3 linked regions of the Drosophila melanogaster genome follow. The protein of the gene in region 2 interacts with the protein of the main gene of each other region in a pairwise test. Each region holds a gene or a part of one and is shown on either strand. Other genes may lie near its edges. The genes, in order: CG7231, ppk23 and CG4853.

Evidence for each region.
Region 1: the proteins of ppk23 (region 2) and CG7231 interact in a two-hybrid assay, tested with the Drosophila melanogaster proteins (one large-scale study listed by BioGRID).
Region 3: the proteins of ppk23 (region 2) and CG4853 interact in a two-hybrid assay, tested with the Drosophila melanogaster proteins (one large-scale study listed by BioGRID).

What each region holds. Positions count from the first base shown.
Region 1 is NT_033779.5:7,980,115-7,988,490, reverse strand, and holds CG7231 (uncharacterized protein), read right to left. Parts: upstream 4,546-8,376; 5' UTR 4,253-4,545; intron 3,951-4,252; 5' UTR 3,724-3,950; coding exon 3,681-3,723; intron 3,217-3,680; exon of another isoform or gene 2,998-3,216; intron 2,939-2,997; coding exon 2,723-2,938; intron 2,658-2,722; coding exon 2,407-2,657; intron 2,353-2,406; coding exon 1,786-2,352; 3' UTR 1,706-1,785; downstream 1-1,705. Other genes in the region: pes (peste), read left to right, coding at 1-98, 164-614.
Region 2 is NC_004354.4:17,564,861-17,573,236, reverse strand, and holds ppk23 (pickpocket 23), read left to right. Parts: upstream 1-4,008; 5' UTR 4,009-4,101; coding exon 4,102-4,478; intron 4,479-4,609; coding exon 4,610-4,909; intron 4,910-4,977; coding exon 4,978-5,059; intron 5,060-5,173; coding exon 5,174-5,670; intron 5,671-5,739; coding exon 5,740-5,950; coding exon of another isoform or gene 5,951-5,992; intron 5,993-6,010; coding exon 6,011-6,199; intron 6,200-6,267; coding exon 6,268-6,387; 3' UTR 6,388-6,477; downstream 6,478-8,376. Other genes in the region: Ankle2, read left to right, coding at 1-328, 394-527, 586-717, 778-1,186.
Region 3 is NT_033778.4:17,508,340-17,516,715, forward strand, and holds the start of CG4853 (uncharacterized protein), read left to right. Parts: upstream 1-5,877; 5' UTR 5,878-6,077; exon of another isoform or gene 6,078-6,240; 5' UTR 6,241-6,398; coding exon 6,399-7,190; intron 7,191-7,245; coding exon 7,246-7,983; intron 7,984-8,045; coding exon 8,046-8,189; intron 8,190-8,245; coding exon 8,246-8,376. Other genes in the region: CG34193 (uncharacterized protein), read left to right, coding at 1,644-1,739, 1,807-1,944; CtsK2 (cathepsin K2), read left to right, coding at 4,029-4,376, 4,437-4,645, 4,711-5,416.

The sequences.
Region 1 (8,376 bases), on a different chromosome or scaffold from region 2:
GAGTTCTTCATGGCCCTGGAGCCCAATGCGGGCGTGCCAATGGACGTGGGTGGTGGCTTTCAGGCCAACTACTACATGGAGCCAATTCCGGGTATTACGTAAGTAACTTGACCTTTACATAAGCCTTTTCCTTACATAAACTAATATTTTCATTTTCTTTCAGCTTGTATGAGAATGTCCCGACGGTCATGATACCCATGATGTGGTGCGAGGAGCGCGTACGCGTATCAGAGGAAATTGCCGCAGACATTGCGCTTGTTCCGCTAATTGTCCTGCTGGGGCAGATAGTAACCGGCATCCTTTTGGCGGGCGGTCTTATATGCACCTGCTGGTACCCGACGCGACAAGTGACGCACTTTTGTCACAGCGATCCAAAGGCGAAGGCCAGTGTCCTGCGACCACTGAACGCCTTTGGTGTAAATTCGTCGGCAGCCACAGCGCCGGTGGCCCAACTATTCCGGAACAACATTAGTTCATCGGGCAACGAGCGTGTGGGAGTGCGCCTACTGGATTATAATCGCGATTCTGGCATAAGACTGGAGAGTGGTACCATGGAAAGCTCGCACAGGGAGCGTCTGATCAGCGAGGACTCGCCCGATGTTGTAGTTAGATAATACATGCGTTGGCATCAAGCCATTCTGACGGTGCCGCCAACGATCATCTGCCTGAGACTCATTTACGTCGCCGTAGCTTAGAATAGCTTAGAACAACGTGATGAAACCATTCTGCCTTAGCCAGGCTCTAAGAGGCTGGACCAAGTTGCTCATCGAGGATGTCGTTCCAATTCACGTCACATACCACCACATTACCTACCACGCATGCCCCAATCGCATTAGGAGTTCCCTCAACACATCTGCACGCTTTGCGGACAGCGAGAGAGATTTATAAGATTATTTATTTTAGTGCCAAATAACAGCAGAAAACGCAAGCAAAAAGTCATTAACTATTTTAGTAGGATAAACTAAATTGTATATAGAGCGACTCGCTTAGAGCGCCCCATTACTCATTTTCCTTAATTCTTGAAGTTTAAACTGCGCATGCCCAAAGTATTTATATTTATATAATAATGCATAACATTTGTAGAGCGATATTTAAGATTTTAATGCAGATTGATCTGAAGTTATATAGAAATAATATTGAACAGAGAACATAGGTAGCGAGAATTGTTGCTCATTTACATAGGTAGGCCGAAAAACTAAAAATTATAGTTGTTGTTTTAAGTCTTGTACAAATAACGCTAGCACTGCAAAGATTACGCATATCCTATGTACAAATGTCGATCAGTGTAAGATCTAAATACCTAGATTATAAAGCACAGCTGTGAACCCCGGAAATATTTCCAAAAATTCCTTAAGATAAATGAATAGAAAAAATTATTAAAATCAAGTGATCAAAGAGGGACTTTCTGAAAATGGCAGTAGTTACTAAAACTACGTATGGAGACCCTGAAAAAAAAATATCCAAACATATCTTCATATAAATTTTAAATTCGAAATCCAATCAATTTATACATTTGTTACTATTAAACTTTACATTTGTCTTTGCCTTGAGAAACATATTCCCTTAAATAAGTTTCTTTAAATCCACACAATACACTTGAATAATTAAATGTGTTTTAAAATTCATCTTTTTTATATAAGATGACTCGTCATCCAAGGCGATTTCCAACAATTCCACCTAAACGAAAATAAAACTGTCAACACATAAAAGTATAAGTTTTAATTATGTTTTCTGGAAGTTGTATAAAAATTGCTCTGATTACCGTACTTATATTAATTACGTATATTATAACCGCTGCATCCAGCTGGACAGAGCCCAAAAACAAAGGCTCATGAAACTGAAGCCAAACAGGGATTTGAAGGTGCTGGCTCCGTTGCCGGGATTGTCCAGGTTCAATTGTGAGGCCAGCTCCTCCGGCACATCCAGATAGACTCTATCCAAGCCGAAGCTGAAGATCAGTTTGCGCAACTTATCCACATCCACATAGTCACCGGCAGACGACCAGATGGTCAGGGTGCTCTCGTTTGTCTCGTTCACCGCGGCCACCAGTCGATGCAGTTGCTCCTCGCTGTTGGCGGCAATGCCAGCGCGCACGGGAAAGGTTATGGCCTGGCCAGTGGATAGGACATTGTTCTCGCTCAGCGTTTCCAGCATGTCATCACACTGCTGCTGCGTGTACTCGCCATCCCGGAAGTCGGCTCCCCAGTTAGTTGTCCAGCCAATGGAGAGCACTGCCTGTTTGTAGCGCATACAGCCGGCGAAGAATCGGTCCGCATCAACGGGTACGGTTCTATTCTGTTCCACGGGACCACTTAGAATATCGGCGTTTATCCACACAGGATACGTGGTAGGCTGCACAACACAGAGATATTGTTTAATTTGTTCTGATATCTGAGATTCGATGACCAAACTTACGTTCGGAATATTCACGTCCAGAATGTCCAGGGAACCCTCGAATACCTCGATCGACTTGAAGTCGAGCTTAACGCCCTTTTTTTGGTCCTCATGATCACGGTTGAAATTAATGATCTGGTTGAGAAATTCCGACAGCGTAAGATCAGAGACATTGGCCGGCGGATGGGCCATTATGGGCATGTCCTCGCCATCGCCATTCAGTTTGCCCAGCACAATGTCCGCTTCGATGAAGTCAATGCCACCTTGGGCAGGGAAATGATACTATTGATAAGTTGGTTACACGCGCATATTTGGCCAATGATCTTACTGGTTTCGGTTAGGACCTCGTCCAGCAATTGCTGGCTGTTGACGGCATGGGCCCAGGTAATGGCAGTGAGATTTGTGCCCCATACCTTCATCATATCCGACTGTTTGAGGAATATATATTCGATCTGGGAATCGTCTGGCGCTGTCTGCTCGACCACCACTTGGTACTGATAATTGCTGGCGTTCAGAGCAGACCCATTGATTTTGGCCACGAGCACTGCGAGTGGACGTGAAATAGACGGCATTAATATTCCACAATTGGACAATGGGACGCACAGAGGGCATAATATGGCAGATACGCGTAGATAAGCCCATTTGCCTTCCTTACCACCCTACCAGCGAGAATTGATACGCAAACACATGCAATCCAATCCAATGTGAATTTGTTTACTTCGCAATGAGCGTGTACATATGTATGTGTGCGCGAATGGACTCTAATTAACTCCCTTTGTTATGCGATTTTTATGGAATGCAAAGCGCGTTGTGCCCTTCTTCCGCTTTCACCGAATGCTGCAATGCAACTGCACATCAATAATTCTCTTCAATCTGTCAGCTGTGCAATGGCGCAAGCGTAGAGAGCAGACGTGAAGTGAGAATGGCGAGAAATGTGCTTAACTTCAAGAGACCGACGCTCATATACCCTAGCTCTAAGAGTTTACATGACAACTTATTGACAAAAAATAACAAAATGTTGCTATTTTACGTTTTACCCCCTTTTTGCGATTGTGTAAATGTATTATCAAGTAATGTTACCCAACACACTCGTCAGATTTAAATGTTTTAATTGAGTACAGGAGCATCGACTATCAGATACCTGTTAGTTTTTTTAAGTTATGTCAAAACTAAACTGTCTGGATCCTAATGTTTCCAAGCGACCCAGGGGTCGTATGTACATGAGTTAAAAACATTAAAAAATGATGATATGTAATGATTTTGAAAAGTGCAAAAATACGAATTACCAAATAGTAGCGTTGTAAGTAGAAAGGTAATTTTTGAGTCCATTTTTTCTATAGGTCTAAGGGCACTTGATCATGAACTTGGGACCGCCACGGTTAGAAACGAACTAAATGGCAATTTTTCAGTTTGGCTTATCGATAGCATTTGCTGATTTAATTAAACATTGATTAAGTATTGTAAATTGGTAGTGACAATCTATCCGCATATCCCAAAATCTAATCTTTTAAGTGGTCACGTTATCCGATGAACTCGCGGACTAGTTAAACTAGTTACTACATTATAAAGAAGAAAGAACAAACAAACGTTTTTATGGAAATTATTACCACACATCTTGTAAAATCATATATTTCATTAAGTACGATTTACATTTATTTGCTTATTAAAAGATAAAATGTTATTTAAATAAGTTTAGACCGCGGTCTCTGTTAGAAAAGCGTTGCATTTTAACATTTCTGTTAAATGAGCAGCAGTAATAGAAGAGAAAACGTAAGAGAGCGGTTCAAAGAGCGGCACTAGAGTGACCATGCGGCGGTACACAAGAAATGCGGCCAATAAGCGAGAGCACAAACTTTACCGAAACGAGCGCTAGAAGAACTGGCCACACTACACCCCCGACACTCAGTTTTAGTTCGAAAATTTAACGGCTCTGGAACCGTTCGGACGTGTCGCTCTCGGTGCGCGTGTGTGTGAGTGGCGAATATAAATATCGGGGGAAAAGCTCGCACGTGCGACGCTTGCGAAAAAAAAAATTGAAAATATATAGTAAAATTGTTGTTTTATTTATGAGTCGAACTAATGTCCCGTCAGTTGACTAAGGACAACGCCAAGAAATAAAAAATAGTTTTAGGAGAAATAGTTTCACGACTTTATTCTTTGGATCTCAGCTTAAGACTAAAAATCAAATGCAAATTGGATTGAGGAGAAGCCTCAGTATTTGAACAATATTTGTATTTCGGGAGAGCCTCGCTCTTGGGTTCTTAAGATTAGGTAGCGTTGAAAGAGGGCAGTCAAATCTGCTTAGGTCAGGCTTTAGGATGTTTACAAGAACGGCTGCGCTGCCAAAGATAAACGAATGCTGCGCAGCTGGGATACGTTATGGAAAATTACTAGAGTGCATTACTGATTTCTTTGAAATAATGGAAGTGGCTGGTTTGGACCACCCAAATACGTCACTCCCCTTCCCTTAAAGAGAAGCCTATACTTGGGCTGGGATTGATGGATATAGTGTGGGAAATGGAGTTTCTTCTATTTCTGTTTGTTGTGGTGTGTTTTGATTTTGATTTTTTCTTATTTTAAGTTTTGCATACAGCATCATAAATGGTTTAAATGATACATATCTTAAATATGAGTACAACAAAATTAGTGCGATTATTACAATGATCATTTGTATGTAAAGTGTAATATTGTTCTCTGAAATCATCTCAACAATGTCGTTGTGTTTTACAATTTTTATTTTTGTTATATTAAGTGGTGTGTATAGTGATGTCAAATCTATTTCTGGTTCTAACAGATTTTCACTTAAAATTATATTATTGATTTCTATTTTGCATTGCGTTACTCTTATCATTTTGTTTCCTTCTATTTTTATTTTATTAATTGAATTTTGGCAATTTTGGTTAAGAATTGTTTGGGTTAAGTTCCAGGTTACAATTGTGTTTGGTTCTATGTATTTTATTATTTCGTTCGTGTGTACTGGCTTAAAATTACAAATTGGATTTAAGTGTTTAATAATATTGGTGACACATTCATTTTTTACTTCTTTATTTTCGGTATTATAAACTTTATTTTCTTTTTCAAAATATGATTGTGTGTCTGTGTAATCTAGCTGATAGCCGTTGGAGTCTGGGTAAGGAATTATTTTAATTGTGCTTATTAGTGAAAGGTAAATGGGTATGTGGGATATGATTAATACTTGGTTATCATTGTAGTTAATCCAAGTGGATGTTTTAATGTTCAAAATGTTTTGGCTGTTCACATTTTCAAGTTTGTCGTAGTTTAGTAATTTGGGGTTAAACAGTCCAAGTCTGGAAAGCTGCATAGCCATTTCCAAATCTTCTATGTATTCCGTCATTTATCAATCGTATGGCGTCGTTGAGTTCATGTAATTTTACTGAGTTATGGACGTTGATTTCAAGTTTTTTCTGTATTTCGACTCGATCATTTTCATCTAGTGTTCCAAATAGGTATTTAAAACCTGAACCCACAATGTTAATAAGACCCCGTTTGTTTCTATGTTTCAGGGTTATTCCGGCTAGTTCTCTTTTTATTTTATTGTATAAAAAATTGATCTGGGGTGCATGGTAATCGGTTCGTAGTCTTTGCTCAAAATAGTCAACCACGATGTCTATTTCAGTTAAATTGATTTTTAAGGAGTGATGTTCAAAGGAGGATGGTATCTGTACTGGCTTATCAGAAAAAAGGAGGTATCCGTGGTTGGTGTCAATATTATTAATTTGAATTTGTTGTCCATGAACAGCTGTGATCAGTATAAACAATAGTGTTATCGGGTACCAGGTGCCTGTGAAATTGAGAGTTTATTATTTTTCTTTTGTTTTTTGAATTGTGTTTTGTAGTAGTGCGTAACTCTATTTCTATTAGTGATTTTGTAATGGTCAGGGTCTGTCTGTTCTACATTTTTGGTTGGTTTAAATGGGTTTTCTAATTTGCCTTTCTGTAGTGGACCTTTTCTGTAATTAGTGTCAATATTAAATTCCTGTCTGTCTTCATTTATTTTGTCTATTTTCTTCTCTTTAATTTTTTGAGTGTCTAATATGGGATGCCCAGCGTATAAGAAAATTTGAGCAGGTGTCTGTCCAGTAGTGTCATGTTTAATTTTATGGTTGTATGTGTAGAGGATTGTTTCTATCTTGCTTAATTTTACTTCTTCATCATCAGATGAATTGATTATACGAATTTTTTCATTTATTGTTTTGTGTAATCTTTCGACGTCTGCTACCCCGTTTTTTGCTGTATTGAGCTGTAATTCGACTTCTTCTTCTTCAAGCCATCGCTTTAAAGCTAAACTGGAGAAAGCTCCGTCTCTGTCTGCCTTTAATAATTTGGGTTTACCTAGTTGATTAAAAATGCGCATTAATGCGTTTCTGCATTCTATCCAATCCTTAGTTTTAATTTGCTCAAGTGTAGCGAATTTAGAATAAATATCAATGCAACTGATGTAATGTTTTCCCTCAGATGAATAAATATCTACTACAAATTTTTCTCGGCAATGTTCCGGGTTGGGTGTGATTTTTAAAGGCATTTTGGTGTTTCTATGTTCTGTTTTGGCCAAATTGCATATGTTGCATTCGTTTATTATATTCTGAATTAATAGTTGGCTATTTGGAAAGAAGTGATTTTCTTTAAATAATTTTGTCATTTTCTGTATACCAGGGTGTAAAAGTTTTTCATGTGATTGAAGTATGATTTCTTTGAATTCGGCGTATGAACCAACGTTCTTTAATAGGAAAAGACTGCGAATTACTTTTGTGTAGGTGGTATTAACAATTTCTATGTGTGCTCTTTGAATAATTTCAAAATCTACATCGCTCTCAATATAAATGGTAATGTTTCTATGGATAAAGTGATCGAGTAAAATTTGTTTGGCCTTTTCAAGTGTCATTACATCATATTGAATTGTGGTAATGGAGTTACCGAATATTTTTGAATGCTCTACTTTATTTTTATCGGATTTAATAAAGATTATTTGTTTTTTGAAATAATTTATTGGTTTTTCTGTTAAATGAATAAGGTTGCTATTGTCCTCTTCTGCACTATGTTGAGTAGCTTCACTATGATGATTTTCTTCAATTTTAATTCTTGATAATGCATCGGCAACTGAATTTTCTTTCCCTTTAATATAATCTATTTTAAATTGGTATTCGCTTAATCTAACTCTCCATCTTTCTAACTTAGCATTCGGTTCCTTTAAGTTATGAAGCCATCTAAGAGGTTGATGGTCACTGGCAATGAGAAATTGTCGTCCTAGTAAATAATGTCGAAAAGTTTTTGTGGCCCAAACTATGGCAAGTAATTCTTTTTCGATAGCACTGTAATTTAATTCGTGATCGTTAAGTGTTCTACTAATAAAAGATATAGGATGACCGTTTTGAGAAAGGACAGCCCCGAGGGCCAAGTTACTTGCATCTGTGGTTAAAACAAATTTCTTTTCAAAATCAGGTAATTGTAAAATTGGGTCACGAATTATCAAAGCCTTAAGTTTTTCGAATGCCTCTATGTACTCAAGTTTTTGTGTATCTATCTTTGCTCCTTTTTTTAAGCAGCTGGTCATGGGTTTTGCTATGTCTGCGTAATTTGGAATAAATTTGCGATAATAACCTGTTAATCCAAGGAAAGCTCTTATCTCTTTTACTTTTGTCGGAATTGGGTATGAAACTATGGCTTTAACTTTAATAGGATTTGGTTTAATACCATCAGGGGTAACTATGTGACCAAGAAAGTTAGCTTCCTTTTTTAAGAACTCACATTTGTCTAGTTGCAATTTTAAATTTGCATCTGCAAGCTTTGTAAAAACTAATTGTATTGAATTTAAATGTTCTGTAAGGGATGTTGAAAAAATTATAATATCATCCAGATACACCAAACAGTGTTTGTTAAGCAACGGTCGAAGGATATTATTCATGCACCTTTGAAAAGTAGCGGGTGCATTCCTAAGGCCAAATGGCATTCGAAGGTATTCGT
Region 2 (8,376 bases):
TCTACCAGACACTCTGAAGACCGAGGAGCTATGTTGCGCCGCCTGGGAGACGGAGCAGTGTTGCGCCTGTCTGTGGGACGCAAATCTCAGCCGTAAGACCAGTCGTCGAAAGCGCACTAAGTCGCTGCGGGCAGCTGCTGTTGTTCAGTCTCAGGGTCAGCTTCAGGATACTTCGGGATCGACAGGGTCGTCCGCCTTGCACGCTTCGCTTGGTGTGGGATCGACCAGTTTGGGAGCATCGAGGGTCGTGGCGTCCGCTTCGAAAGATGCTTGGCGCCGTCAACAAAGCGACGACGAGGACTACGACAGCGATGAGCAAGTAATCTTTGTGAGTATCAGTGTTTAGTACTGTTGTCCTTCTCCTAAACATTTTTGTTGTTTTTTTTTTTCAAGTTCGACTGCACTAATGTTACGCTGCCTTATGGAAGCAGCAGCGAGGACGAGGAAAACTTCCGTACGCCGCCGCAAAGCTTGTCGCCAGGTATTTCCATGGATTTGGAGCCGCGTTACGAGTTGTTTATTTTTGGGTGAGATTAATCATAGTTTAGAATGTTTCTTTATAGACTACATTTTTTAACATTCTAGAAACGAGCCAACCAAGCGAGATTTGGATGTGCTGAATGCCCTTTCCAATGTCGACATTGATAAGGAAACACTGCCGCATGTCTACGCCTGGAAGACTGCCATGGAGAGCTACTCCTGTGCTGAAATGAATCTGTATGTTTATTATCATCATGATAGGGTTTTTGTAATGACTTTTGCTCACTTATATTAAAGCTTCCCATCCCCAAGGAACGTCAAGGTTCAAAAGCCGGAGCCTTGGTATTCTGGAACCAGTTCTAGCCACAACAGCCAACCATTGTTGCATCCCAAGCGTCTGCTTGCCACGCCAAAGCTGAATGCCGTGGTCAGCGGCAGACGCGGATCCGGACCATTGACGGCGCCAGTTACACCGCGTCTGGCGCGAACTCCGTCCGCCGCCAGTATTCAAGTTGCATCCGAGACGAATGGCGAGTCGGTCGGAACTGCTGTGACTCCGGCATCGCCGATTTTGAGTTTTGCCGCCTTGACGGCAGCGACGCAGTCATTCCAAACACCATTGAACAAGGTGCGCGGCTTGTTCAGCCAATATCGGGATCAACGGTCCTATAACGAGGGGGACACGCCGCTGGGCAATCGGAACTGAAACGGAATCGGCCCGGAAACAGAAACAGAAACAGCGACTGATTGATGAAAGGCCGACTGCATACTTACCCCCCTGAATAGCCGGTGTCGTCCATTGTCCCTTTTAATGTTAATCGCATGTATATTATTTTTTTTTATACATTATGAATACAAAAATCGTGAAAAGTGAAATAAAAAACGAAATCTTTGCTACCAAGTACTTTGCAACAGATAAGGAATTCATTAGTTGTATAGTTCGCAGCAAATTGAATCAAGTGCTTTTCTAAATATGTAATTTCCCAATTCATTTTGGTGTGGTGGGGCTATCAGTTTGGGGACTGCGACTAAAAGCGAAATTACCGCAACAAATTGTGGCAGAAGAGCGCCGTAGAAAGCCATAAAAGCAATTACCATTAATCACACAAACGGACGGACAGTGGAATGGACACCTGGACGCTGGGTAAGATCGCGACTGAAAAGAGCATTCTTCGCCACCGATCGATCTTGGTGTTCGATGCAATGCAAAACGAGAAACTGAAACCGCTCGGCTCGGGAAAAAAAAAAATAAAATGCAACGAATTCAACGGAAGGGAAAGGAAAGCAAAAAATGTTTATCGAAGTCAGTATACGTATACCCATAGATTCTGCCCCAGCTCAGGGGATCCCCTCGACGATCCCGATCCCGGCCAGGTCTCGTTTACTCTCAATTTCTTATTTATGAGAGTGCTCTTGATGGTGGCAGCGCTACATCAGAATGGGTATGCTCGACTTTTGTTGGGGGACGCACTGACAACAGGTGTAAGATGATTGCGGTACATACCCATGACCCATGAAATTTACCATTTTCTCAGCATAAGGATAATATACGAAGGCCAAAAACAGAAGGTATGCGATAGTCGACGCTCAGATACTCATCGCTCTGTAAGCTTCTACAAATTTGAGGTATGCAGTAAATACGGTACATTTAAACTAATATCAGTTGCTTTACTGTTACTTTTTTTAACATGCTCATTATTTTTAGAGACTGATACCATAGGGTATCATCGGTTCGCCACGTGCCCATCGAAGTGCTTCTTCGTTGGTGTCTTTTGGTTTCTGCTCCTCTTCTTTTGTCAACTGGAGCAGAGGCAGGTGGGGCAGGTACGTGGGGCAAGCGGCATGTGGCTGGGGTAGATGGTTGGGGCAGCGAACAAATTTGTTGCAATTGCCGTTTCGCTCAGTGGTCGGGCCACTTTTCAATGGCAGGGCTTTGACAAATGATCGCTGATAAGAAGCCGAACCGAGGGAGAATACTAAAAGCGAAACAAATTGAGAGGCTATAAGGCGGGATCTGGTGGAGCGTGGGAAAGGATTGGGGGCGAGGGCGGGGGTTTTTTTGGCCATAAGTGGGTCGCAATGCCAGTAAGGAGTATTTTTTATCCATTATGCATTCGATCTCCGTTTTGGTTTTGGAATCTAGTTATGGTGTTATGAATCTATAACGAAGTTAGATATTTCTTCATATATTTTAGGGTTGGATAATATAAGCTATTAGCTTTTAGATATTTATTTACAGAAATGCTGAAATGACACGTTATACTGCTTTCTTATCGTCTTGAAAGGTTTGTTTTTTCAAAAGAATATTATTATGTAATGTATATATGTTGCCTAACTAAATTAAGTTCCCATTTTATTTGTTTAATCTAATTATGAGAAAAACATCGAGTAAGAAAGACATGGTGGTTCCTTAACCTACAGCTATATAATAATATAATATATGCAATGCCCAGACGACGCACGGTTACTGAAGGGGAGCGGAGTAAAAGGGCCTCCCTCCAACCGACTGGCGCCAGTGGCTCCGATTATCTGACCACCGCCATCAGGGTCAACTCATTCCAGCAGTTCTTTTGTTTGCCCCAGCTCCAGCAGCCATAACCCAAAACCCAGAGTCCCGAAAAATCCAAAACCCATTCCTCGACGCTTTGTGAAACTTGAGAACACTTAACGATTGCAAACAAAAAAAAAAAAATAATAATAAAAATAAACAAATCATATGAATAAAAAAGGGAAAAGAGAGGCGAAAGAGCGAACAAAGAGAGTCCGGGCCGTGTCAGAATTTCACACAAAACTTGTGAAGTTCCTCCGATCCTTGGAGTGAAGTGGCTTTCGGTGGAGTGGCCAGCACAGCCCTATCCCTATAAAGGAATATGTGATTTTTTTTTGCGGAATGCAAGGCGGCGCCGGAAGCTGTTCAGACAGCCCCGACCAATTAGCCAGCCATTTATGCAGCCAGCAATCCATCAAGCCTTCAAGCCATCCAACCAGCCAGTCATCAATCCATCCAAGGCAGCTGCATTCGGTAACTGGACTAACCCACAATTGCGCAGGACTTTAGCCATATCACTGACCCCAATCTAGTCGATGTCGGTACGAAAAGTTGGTGGACTCATTACTGAAATGCATTTAAAAATACGCTGATCTGATATAAAACTATTTTCTTTGCTTATATTTTATTCTAAGAGCTTATTTGAATTAAAGATAGTTTAAATATTAATTGTATTTTAAATGAAAAGGGTTTCATTAGCTTATATTATCATTTTACATTTTCTATGACTTAGAATTTGTATCTTGATTTTTACAATATTTTGTAATTAAAAAACCTTTCATTAATATTCACCTATTATTGTTTTAGGGTACAAAGATCTAGATAGTCCCTGGTAACTACCACAATCCAAAAAAACAATCAGACGCATGCAAACGGCATTACGTGAACAATGAAAGGCTTTTAGGACCTGCAAATGGAACCACACGCAGGTGGACTAATGATACACGCATCGATTTGGCATTCGATGTATTTCCCTGGGTTCAGTCGTAATGTTGACTTTGGATCCGATGCTAGGGCATCAGTTTTGAGTTCACTACCAAGCCGCGTCGGCGAGCAATGTTCCTGAAACGGAAATGCCGCAAGAGAAACGCCATCCGCCGGAGTCCAGGACGCAGCGCTTCCTCGAGACTTTGGTCATCTTTCGGCGCAGCCTCATCTACCAGACGAAGGAGTTCTTCCAGAACTCGACGCTCCACGGAGTGCGATATATTGCCGAATCGGGCCGACCTATCGGCGAGAAGTTCATGTGGTTCTGCTTCACATCCATAGGAGCGGTCACCGCGCTGGTCATCATTATGAGCCTCTGGGAGAAGTTCCAGACCAATCCGACAATCACTGGCCTCGACACCGACTTCCACAACCAGAACGTGGTCTTCCCCACCACCGTCGTCTGTCCGGAGGCGGCGTTTGACCACGACAAGACCTACGAGAAGGTTTACAATACACTGGCGTGAGTACGGAGATATCATAAATATCTTATAGATTGAAACTATTTCTTTAAACATTACGCAATAATGCAACTACTTTTATGTACATACATATGTTGATTTACATTAAGTGTATGACATTTTGTGATTACAGTAACTACGATGAGGCCCAGGCCCAAATGTATACCCCGTTTCTGCGGATTTTGACCTCCCTGAACTTCGAGAACGTTCGGGACGCCAAGGTGCTGTCGCAGTCGATTCCGCAAAACCTGCTAGATGCGCACACCATCCGGGAGTGGGCTTTCGAGGGTCACATCGACTGCAAGAACGTCTTCGTGTCCTGCAAGTATCGCGACGAGGACATACCCTGTTGCGACCACTTCGAACCAATTTACACGGAGCACGGCTTTTGCTACGCCTTCAACAGTCGTTTCAAGTCCACGCCCACTGAAGAGTAAGTTTCGCGGAATCGGAATCCAATTTGATCTGCGTTTTATTAAGTATATGTACTTTGTTGTGTAGCGTTAAGACCGGAGCACCTCATGACCTCTACGAAACCGACAAGAAGTGGGCGCTCTTTTTCATACCCAACAGCACTTCACGTGTAAGTTGTTCATAACCATATACTACTATATACTAGTATAGTAGTTATCCCAATATAAAAGTTCCTATACAAGTATATTTCGCATAATAATGAATTTGAATAACACATCTTCAGATCTTTATCTTTTCCAACGAGGAGTACTTCGGTTCGGATTTCAATGCTCAGATCGATTGGTCGGAACCCCAGTTGGTGGAGGTGAGGATATCCAAGAAGAACACCTACACCACGGACGATGCTCGCCAGCTGTCCATTGGCCAGAGGAAATGCATCTTCAGTGACGAGGTGAAGCTCAATTATTTTCCAGACGCCTACACATTCTCCTCCTGCATGAAGCAGTGTCGCATGAACAAGGCCATCAAGTTGTGCAAGTGCAATCCGCCCTTTTATAAACCCATACGTGAGTTGTCATGTGTAATTAACATATTTACAAACCTTATTGCATACATATTATTATTATATTTAACGCCGAAAGCTAATGTGCCTATGTGCTCGATCAAGGACTTCGATTGCCTCGATGAGTTTAAGAGCAACATTACGAACATCAAGGATTGCCTGCAATGCGAGCTCAGTTGCTCGAAAACCGTTTTCAACATCGATAAGCTGATCAAAATGTTAGTTTTTCCAAATAGGTGTATCTATGATGTAACCAGAGGATGTAATGATGTATGATGTAATTTCAGGTCGGATCGACCGGAGAGCTTAGGTGTGCTGGTCGAGTTTCTCACCTGGCCGATTATTCGCTATAAGCGTGAGGTCCTTTTCGGCTGGGTTGATCTGTTGGTGTCCTTTGGCGGAATTGCCAGCCTTTTTCTTGGATTTTCACTGCTTTCGGGTGTGGAGATTATATATTATTTTACGCTGCGAGCCTGCTGCATGGTCTATAAAAATCGCGTAAATTATGCCAATAGAATATTCCAATCAACTTCCATCTAAAATGTGAATAAATTTCAGCAAGAGCTTTACGAAATCGAGGAGAAAATCCGTCAGGAGCCGCCACCCAAAATAGATCTGAAACTGAGTTTAAAATCCCACAATCCAAGGATCGGAGACACGCCCACTTCGGCGGTGCTGAAAGTGAAACCGGCGGAGGAGTCCGCAGGACCAAATCCTTTGGGTGGTTATCAAAGAAAACACGAAAAGGTTAGTCTCTAAAAAGTCTCTAAAAAACTAGCATCATTGATTGCACTTTCACAAAAACGCTTTTTCAGGACTACTCCCTCAACACAAAGAACTATTATAAAACACCCAAAGTTGTACCCGACTATGGATATACAAGCAAAACGAAAAATTCCTGGACAACTTATGATCATTCTCAGTACATGCCCTGAAGCTTAAATAGTAACAAAAAGTAACAAAATATTTAAAAAAAAAAGTTATGTAGTGGCTTATGTTTAAGTTATGCCAATTGCCAGTCCTTGAACGAGAAATGTAATGGAATTAACAAAACAAAACAATAACCAAAAAAATTTAAAAAAAAATGTATTTAACATTTTTATGTGCTTCAAATATCTGTGTTTCTACATATTTCAATTTGGCCTTTTGATATATTGCTTAAAGGGTTTCAAATAATAATTGAATAATTTAATACAATTATTTCAAGCACAGCTGTACTCAATGTAAGCTACCAACAAATACTTAACCATCAATGAATATTATTGCGCACCAGCTGTTGCGAGAGCAAATACTCTTATCATGTAGCAAACTTCTCTCTTTTTTTAATAAAGATATATTGTATCACGCAGATATGCACCAGCAATAAAGAAATATCCGCTAGTAAAATACCTTCGTCTGCCGCTGGAATGTTTCGATGGGTTTTGCTCCCAATTAAACTTCAGTTCTGTGTTGCATACTTAGCGGCGCGGCGGGTTCACTGCACCATGGTGGTTGACAAAGCGATGGGTTGGGGGAGCAGGTAGATGGCCGGGTGGGCGGTGGTAAACTAACCGCCGACCCGTCCGCAAAACTCCCATCTTTAGATCCAACTGCATCTGTGGCTCCCAGCCCGAAACTCAAACCCACTACCAAATCCCCGGCATTCAGTCGCAGCTCAGCAAAGGCGAAAAGCATTTTTCAGTTAACATCGTTGCTGGCTCATTGTTAATTCCCCCCAGTGCTGCCCGCTATTAGCCCTTAAAATGGCTAGGATTGTGTTCTAATTGCTTCCGGTTTAATAAGCCAATTTTGTTTGTTAAATTATATGGACAAATAATGTTGAATATGCAATAAGTCGGTAAAATGTGCACTACTATATATGTAAATCTGTGTTGTTCGATTTTAAGCGGTCGGCTTAACGTTAAAATTTTAATTCATTTATTTAGTTTATAGTGCTTTTTCATTAATGTAATGTTTTGAAAAAACCGAAAATCTGTTGTTTCCGATACCACTTAAAAATCAACATATTTAATTTTAAAATAGTTACGAATTGCGGCAAAATTGCATTTTGCAAACAGCTACACTTACAGCACTGACGTGCGACAAAAAGAGAGAGGAAGGGAGTGTGCGAGAGAGAAGGCTATGCGGACTCCCAAAGCGGCCAACAGGTGGAGCGTGGTGGTGGTCGTAGTTGTAATTGCAGTTGTAAGCCGCGTAGTACGCAACGGAGTCTGCTTTTCCGTTTTTCCGGGGGTTGGATGTGTATTTTTCCAGTCTCGCATTCAATTTGCGCGATTTCCCCCCACCATTTGCATATTTCTGTGAATGAAACCGCCGCATAGTTTGTACTTTTCCCTTACTGGCAAAAAAGAGGCGTTTCCATGACTAGGATTAAGATGCAACGATCGCTTTATGACCCCGCCGCCAAGGATTAAAAACCAACACTAAATTAAAGGGAACAAATAAATAAAAATAGCGAACAATCAACGAAAATAAAAAAGAAGTAGGCACAACTAAGGCAAAGAAAATAAAAAAAAAAAACACTCAGTGCCTGTTAACGGACTTGTTGACAATAAACATACGCCCACAAATAACTAATCTCACATGCATGGATACACAGAAAAAAATATTAAATATTTTTATTATTCTATGATTAACTTTACATTTAAATACAAATTGTTTAATGCAGATTTTGAAATAGAATCAACACATTTTATCTGCAGAATTTTAAAGTTTTTTTTTTGTTTTAACAATTTAATGATCTTAATAATCTTTTAGAAAATGTAACCACAAAAATTCAGTTTAATGATAAGTTTATATTTATTAAATATATATTGTTCTATAATGTTTATGCCAGTGCAATGGCATGCATAAATAAATTTAGCAAAGTTAATTGGAATAAGGGAGTTGAAAGCGCTGTTTGCATGCTCCCAAAAAAAAGGGAA
Region 3 (8,376 bases), on a different chromosome or scaffold from region 2:
CATCTCCTTTCCCACGAATGCCACTAGCCTAAGTTGTGTGTGTGTTTGGGTCGAGGTGTTATCCAGCCGGGCATCCGGGTTCCACTGAGGAATGGCCATTTTCGAGAGCCGGCCGGACATGTCCGAAAATGACGCTTCTCTCTGAGGACCTCGATGCCAATGGATGACCGCGCTGAAATGCAGCGAGAGATTAAAGGAGCTAAGACATTAATCTATATATAAATATATATGTATTGTATGCTTTAATTGTATGACAACCACCACAAAAAAAAGGAAACTCTTGATTAATAAACGTAATAAGTAAATAAGATGATGGATATTATTAAGGGACAATAGGGGATTAATGTTTCAGATTGCTTGGAAACATGAGTAGACAATATTTGTAGCGATTAAATACGATCTTTTAAGGCACCTAAGTTCTTTCAAAGAGATCCCATGTGCAATCGATCGTAAAACTCTTCAATAATAGAATTTAATCCCCATATCCCAGAAATATCTCATAACGGCTCGAACTGACCATGGCCAAAGCGCAAATCATAAACAAGTCAATGGGATTTATTTTGGCTTGGTCGAAACGAAGATGAAAGCCAATAATCGTAAATTAACTGCTTAGGCTCTAAAAACTGAAAACTGAAGAAAAAAAACTAAAGTGTGTGCCATGGAATTTTATTGCACTCGCTCCAAGAAAGCCAGCGGCCGCCGAGGAATAAATAAATAAAAATTTCTCGGTGGGCTTACATCATGCTGCCCCATGTCCGCGTCTGCATTCAAATCTGCAAATCATCTTTCTTAATTTAAAGAGGATTCCGAGACGCAGACGCATCACATCAAGTTTTATGTGTGTCGGTGTCGTTCGCCCAACAATTGGATGAAGATGGAGTTGCGACTTTTAACCAAAAGATCCAAAAGGGGCCCCTGTCGAAGAACCCCCATCCCTGCCCACCTGCTGCTCCGTTCGTGGTCTCCATTCCCAGCTTCGTCCTCATCCTCATCTTCATCTTCATTTTGAGCTGCGACTTTGCGCATGCGCAGACGACTGACTTCGTTTGAAGTTCTGTTGACTGATGTTGTTGTGCGTTGTTGTTGCTCTGCTAAAAGTTGGTAATGAAAGAAGCACACACAGAACGAGGTGTACATATGTGTGGCCATATATGTATATATATATATATATATGTGTGTGGTATGTGCCAGCAGCAACAAAAGCAGCAGCAGATGCCAAGACAACCTTGAAATGTATAGCAGGGTCCAACGAACGAATATAAAAAAGGTTCTTTGGTTCCTTGGTTCCATGGTTCTTTGGCTCTCCAGGTTCTTGGGCTCATTATTTCCTTCTTCTTTTTTTTTCTACTTCAAGAATAAGCGAGAACAGTAAGTAACTGCTCGCCGGGAATGCCCCAATCAGGATAAATCTCTGGGGTAAACGACGGCTCCAGAAAGCAAAAGTGCCAGCCGATAAGAGGAGTATTTTTAAACAGCCCGAATGCGATTGAGTTGGAAGATAAAACCCGGAAGTTGCGGAAGTTGAAAGCGCTGGCGAAAGTTCCGACTTGGTGCGATTATATAAGGGAATCTCGCCGGTATGCAGTATCAGTGCAATCCAAACGCTTGCCTTGAAAACCATATCCTTTGCAACTAACCACACAATGAAAGTACTCCTGGCTTTAACTTTCCTGGCCACTTTGGCTCTTTCAGTGGCCCTTCCCCAGGTGGGACATGGATCTGTAAATGGACCCAGTGGGGTAAGTATTCCTCGGAGAAGCCAAGATGTTTTGTTAATTCTATGCATTTTCATATATGTGCACTCAGCGCTTCCCTATGACGAAGAATTGGGCGCAACCTCCGGTTGATTTGCGAAAACCCATTATCTTTCTGCCAGAGGCCACGCCCATTCACGAAGCCCAGGAGTCGCGCCCCCGACTAGCCAAACATCGCAAGAGTGGATAGATGCCAAGGAATACCTATTTATTATTTAAATTTAATAAGTATATGTTCGTAAGACAATCTGTTTCGTTGACATCTTATAGATGCGAATTATATTTAGCAAAACATTAGAAAAGTCAAGGAATTTCTGAAATATAAGTTAAGAAACATAGCACTAACTCGCTATAAAATAGCTTACATTCTAATAACTAAATTTGGCCTTCATTCGAATTAATTGAACATGAAGTTCACAAAAATTAGGTACAAAAACATTAATTTACTTTGGAGAAGGACGAAACATAATTTAATCTTGCTTACAAATTTACAAAATGCAACCAGTTTTTTTCGCGTGCTATATTTTATTGAGTTTTTGATAAATTTCGCTAATCAAACATTACAACATATATATATGGCGTGCTTAATGGCACTAACTAATGCTTAACTAATAACTTATTTAATTTAAAACATTAATTTCTGTGCCAGATATAAAACAAGTAAGGCAATGCAAATAAATTGTTTGATTGTAGCTGAAGAACTTTAAATTAAGTTCTTTATTAACCAGTTTGATACTCAACGAATTATAGCACCTGTTTCTCTGGCAGTTCAGATGGAGCTACTGTTTGTTGGTTCTTTTGCTATTAATCAAGACCCATTTTTATTTAAATTTATTTCTGAATTTATCAAAGATACTAGTTTCCCATATATGTATGTGTATGTATTACAATCAATGACGAATGAGCAGTATGAGTGCTTGAGCAGTTTCCCAAGTTACTAAATATTGAAGATAAATATTTCTAGAAAAAAAACAATCATTCCTAATTTGAATCTCTTATAGAAAAACACGTGCAGACAATATTTAATTGAAAACAAATCCTATGATTGGCCCTTTACCAGAAATAAGCAGAAACTTGATGAATATTCATTGCCTAGTTGACATAATTAATCCATAGTCACCTAATTTAGATAAAAAACTTGTTTTCCCAAACTGATTGGGGATCCCCCAAGGCACAAACGACGAATTTATTACATCTCAAAAGTATTCTAGCAAAGCTATTTAGATTTCATTTTAACGTAGCTACTGTTTCAAAACCCGAAAAAAATTGTGGAACCGACGTGTTAAATTAAAATGCAAATTAATATATTTGTTTAATATGCATGCATGACTATGTCAATCCATACAAAACACATTAATTAGTCACGACACTATTACAAATTGGGTAGGCTATAAAAGATCGGGAATTGGGATGGCCCCAAAAAAGTGGATCCAAGTCCATCGTCCACAAAGGTTGATTGACATAATTAATAATCGCTTGAACCGATACAGATCGTCACTCAACGGTGTTATAATTAATTGGAAACGGAACTCAAGCGGGTTTTGCTTTTAAGCTTCAAAATATACTCCATGCACTTCACGTAATACCTAATTTACACGAATTTAACAACGGGTTTTCGTCGAGTTCCGGTTTTTCCTGAAAGCATACGTTATCAAAAAGTGACTTGAGAAGTGATTAAAAGTGTTAATTGCAAACGAGAATCCGTGCGATCAAATATACGAATGCATTCAGATAGAAAGCAGCCCAAATGCGTAATCGTTCTATCACATAAAAGTCAAATAATCAAGATTTATCCACTTTATTAAACACACCCAATCTGGACCAAAATAGATTAAATTCTAATACTCTCCCATATTCCGAACCATCTTGCATGGCGCTAATGAACCGAGACGAGTTCCCAAACCACACGGCGAATATCGCTGGATCGGTCGGATCGCACACATCAAAACAGATATAGCACATACTCGTATACGATATGCATGGTATAATCAACGCGTTTCGATTTCTGTATAATTCCGAATCACTGGACTTGGGATTTATGGATTTGAATGGATCGGGTGGGGGCGAGGTTGGCCAGTTTATAGCCTGAAACCTACTAGTCTAATGGCTATATAAGCCCCGATCGACGGTCGAGACAAAAACATTTGTGTGGACCGTGCGAGCGCGTTAGGTTAGTCTATTGGGAATTACTTGCGATTACTCGCATCAGAAAAATTTGTGCAATAGTATCTCGTATTTGCAATAGACAAGCAAATCGGCTGATAAGCCGATCATATGCAATCAAATATAATTAGTGCATCGCCGTTTCACCCTTCGACTACAAAACCAGTCGGAACTAATAGTTTCGTCTTTTGGCAGATCAGTATGAAGCTTCTGTTGGTTCTTCCACTTCTGGTGGCTGTGGTCTCTGGCCAGGGATTCGGAGGCGGTGGATTTGGAGGCGGATTTGGAGGTGGACTCGGAGGCGGATTTGGAGGTGGACTCGGAGGCTTGGGCAACAATCGAGTGGGTGGAGCTTTACAAAATGTGGCCGGCGCCGTTCAGAATGCCGTGGGCAACATTGCCAAGGCTGTGCCCAAGGTGCCGCTGCTCTCAAACGTCCAGGACTTTGGTGACTTCTTGGTGAGATAGGCAGCATTGATCAATTTCAAAGGTAGAAGTAAAACTTCAACCGATTTGCAGAGCCAATCTGGAAAGACCTATCTCTCCGCCGCTGATCGCGCTCTTCATGAAGGTGCCTTCGCTTCCACCAAGAACCTGGTGGAAGCCGGAAACGCAGCCTTTGCCCAAGGAGTGCACACCTTCAAGCAGGCCGTGAACGCCTTCGCCGATCTGACCCACTCTGAGTTCCTTAGTCAATTGACCGGTCTGAAGAGAAGTCCGGAGGCTAAGTAAGTGCTAACAAACCATTTGCACAGCCGGCATAGGATTTTATCAATTCTATATCTGCACCCAGGGCTCGAGCTGCTGCCAGTTTGAAGTTGGTCAACCTGCCTGCGAAGCCCATCCCGGATGCCTTCGATTGGCGCGAGCATGGCGGTGTCACACCAGTCAAATTCCAGGGTACCTGTGGCTCCTGTTGGGCCTTTGCCACCACTGGTGCCATTGAGGGACACACCTTCCGCAAGACCGGCAGCCTGCCCAATCTCTCTGAGCAGAATCTGGTCGACTGTGGTCCGGTGGAGGACTTTGGCCTGAATGGCTGCGATGGTGGCTTCCAGGAGGCCGCATTCTGTTTCATCGATGAGGTGCAAAAGGGTGTGTCCCAGGAGGGGGCCTATCCCTACATTGACAACAAGGGCACGTGCAAGTACGATGGCAGCAAGTCCGGAGCCACCCTCCAGGGATTCGCCGCTATTCCGCCCAAGGACGAGGAGCAGCTGAAGAAGGTGGTGGCCACTCTGGGACCAGTTGCCTGTTCGGTGAATGGTTTGGAGACTCTTAAGAACTACGCCGGTGGCATCTATAACGACGATGAGTGCAACAAGGGCGAGCCGAACCACTCCATTCTGGTCGTCGGTTACGGATCGGAGAAAGGACAGGATTACTGGATCGTCAAGAACTCCTGGGACGACACCTGGGGCGAAAAGGGCTACTTCCGCCTGCCTCGCGGCAAAAACTACTGCTTCATTGCTGAGGAGTGCTCCTATCCCGTGGTTTAAGCGGGGAATCCGAAATTTATGGCAAAATTTACTGTGCAGTTTGTGATGTGGACTTGGCGTTGGTTGCGTCCATTTCTTAAATAAAAGTCTTTTCTTAATTATAATGCTGCTAAATTAGAGTAGTTAAACGAAAGTAATGCAATGCATTGCTTTGCTTAAATATTTACAGATAACAAATTAAAGAGGAATAAACAAGAATCTTTTGGAAATTTAAAACTATTCACGGGTTAATTGGGCACTAAACGAACTTTAGAGGAGTTCAGCAATTTGATGTGAACAATAACCAGACCTTTATGTCCAAACAAGAAGATCTAGATATTCGGGTAAATTAAAAAAATGTTTGGGGATAGTAACGGAAATAACGCTTGACATTTTAAAACCTGTTAAAAGCGTTGCCAGATGCGGATATTTACAGCAAGAAAGCAAGTAATCGATGATTTCCCCAGTTGGGGATATCGATTATTGCCAAATTTGTGTAAACATCGATGGTATCGCTGTACCGAGACAACAATAATAGAAATAAATTAAGTCAATTGGCGAATTAAACTATATTAGGCGCAGAAAAAACGGCGGACATTTGATGAGCAGCAGGCGGGGAATGCCGTGACGAAAGGCGGCAGTGCGTCCGATGGAAGGCCACCGCGCAACAGTGTTCCTGCAGGTGTGTCTGCTCCGGAAGCGATGTTCTGATCAGAAGAGACCAGCCCACTTTTGGGAAAGTGGGCGTTGTCACCAGAGCGCACGAAACCAAAGCCCCCGGCCACCTGTCTTTCTCCCACTGTGTGTGTGCTAATCGAGGTTTCCCCTTGCCCCTTCCTTTCCAGAAATGTACGCGATAGTGGTGCATGTGCATTGCGACTAATCCAAAGAGTCCCCCTGTGGTCATAACGCATTTAACAACCATCGCAGCCAAATAGTCACGTTTCTCCAGAGATCCCCGTGTGTCTGCACTTTCCCCATCCCCGATAACCCCGCCCCAAGCATGGACGAAGATATCCTAAACGCTGTGGAGTCCCTGTTCGGCAAGGATGTCAAGATCGTGGACTGCGAAACCTCATCCTCGCTGCAGCAGGAGGAGGTGTTGCTGGTCAACGGAGTGCCGGTGAAGCTGGATGGGCTGCCGGCGGATGATGCCAGTGCCATAAAGGCAGCTTTGCTGGAGGGGCAGATGCCATCGGTTGAGCACCTGAATCAATTGCTCTTCCGCGCCGGATTGGCCCAACAGCCCATCGAGGTAGAGACCTCGTTGACCGTCAAGTCCTCTCTGACCACCACGGAGGAGGTGCTGGTCTCGCGCAACGGACAAATCCTAGACGAACGCACCGTGGAGACCAAGGAAAACTTTAACCATCAGTCGCACCAGAAAGAGATCTGGCATCCTGTCAAGCAGCAGTCGGCCTTGGCGCGTGCCACTCCCGAGAATGCCCTCAAATACCGAACCACTTCGAATTCCACGTTCGCATCGCAGGCCACAGACTCGGACGAGCGTCCAGTTGATCCTTTGGGCCGGCAGCTGAACCAAACCTTCTCGAATGCTTCCCTTATGTCCAGCAGCTCTGCTATTACTGGATCCGATCAGGTCATCGGATCTGTATCATCCACCACTATTGGGGACAAAAGCTCGAATATAAGCAGCTGCGACTCCGGGCACGATGGCCTCTTCCACAGCGTGTCGATGAGTGCACCCTGGTCACATCCACGTGACACCTTAACCGACTCTTTGTACTGCGACATTCCCAGCTCCGCAGATGAGTCGGATGCGGTTTCTATCCTAGTAAGTTTGAACGGATTTGCCAGTCGCTAAATAACTAATAATTTACCTAAATTAGAACACCCACTTGAAGATCACAGAGCCATTCGATTGCCAAACAGCGCCAGTTTACGCCAAAGACATACCCAAGAAGGGCAACCTGGATTCGGTGGTCAACCTGCTTATCAATAATAATACTAAGGATTTGCGGTTTGCCTTTCTGACCACTTCCCGCTTGTTTTCACCACCACACCAGCTGCTTTCCAAAATCATTGCCAAGATTGATAATGAGGAGGAAAACGTGTTACGACTTTTGAACGAATGGCTAGACACCTGTCCCGGGGACTTTAGCCATGAACTGCTATTGCAGGAGCTGGAAAATAAGCGTAATGTAAAAGGATTGGCAGCTTTTTTGGATGGAATTCCCCAAGCTTTGGCGCAAAAGGACGAAAATGGACGAAGTCAACTAAATAACCTGCTTACCAAGCAATCGTCGGCCAGCTCGTTGGGACGTCAGAGCAGTATTAAGTCGCTGAAACGCTTTGCCGCCAATGTCTACAAAACAGACAATGTGCTAAACAACTGCAGCAGTGCCTTCGAGTTGGCTCACCAACTTTATGCCATCGAGTACGCCTATCTGTCACAAATACGTCTTGAGGAGTTTGTGGAAATCCTCGAAAAGGATGAGCTGAAGACCTGCATAAGCCAAACCAAGGCGGGCACCTTGGGTTCGAATTGCATCAGCCAGGTGACAATCGACAGTTACGTGCAGTGGTTCAACCAGCTAAGCTACTTGACTGCAACGGAAATATTAAAGGTGAGTACTAAAAAAAAAATTAACCATTAATCAAATAAAAAATATGATTCGTTCGTTCCTAGTTGGGCAAAAAGTCCCAGAGAGCACAAATGATCGACTTCTGGGTGGAAACAGCTCTGGAATGCTTTAACACAGGCAACTTCAACAGCTTGATGGCCATTCTAACAGCATTGAATCTTACTGCCATAGCTCGCCTAAAGAAAACGGTGAGTTTTCGTTAAGTAAAACGAGTGAAGTCTGATTTTACTACTATTTTTTATAGTGGGCCAAAGTGCAGACGACAAAGTTCGAGGGTTTGGAGCATCAAATGGATCCCAGTTCGAACTTTCTTAACTACAGATCCACCATGAAGGCAGCTGTTTGGCGTTCGGAAAGGGAAATGGCCAACGAAAT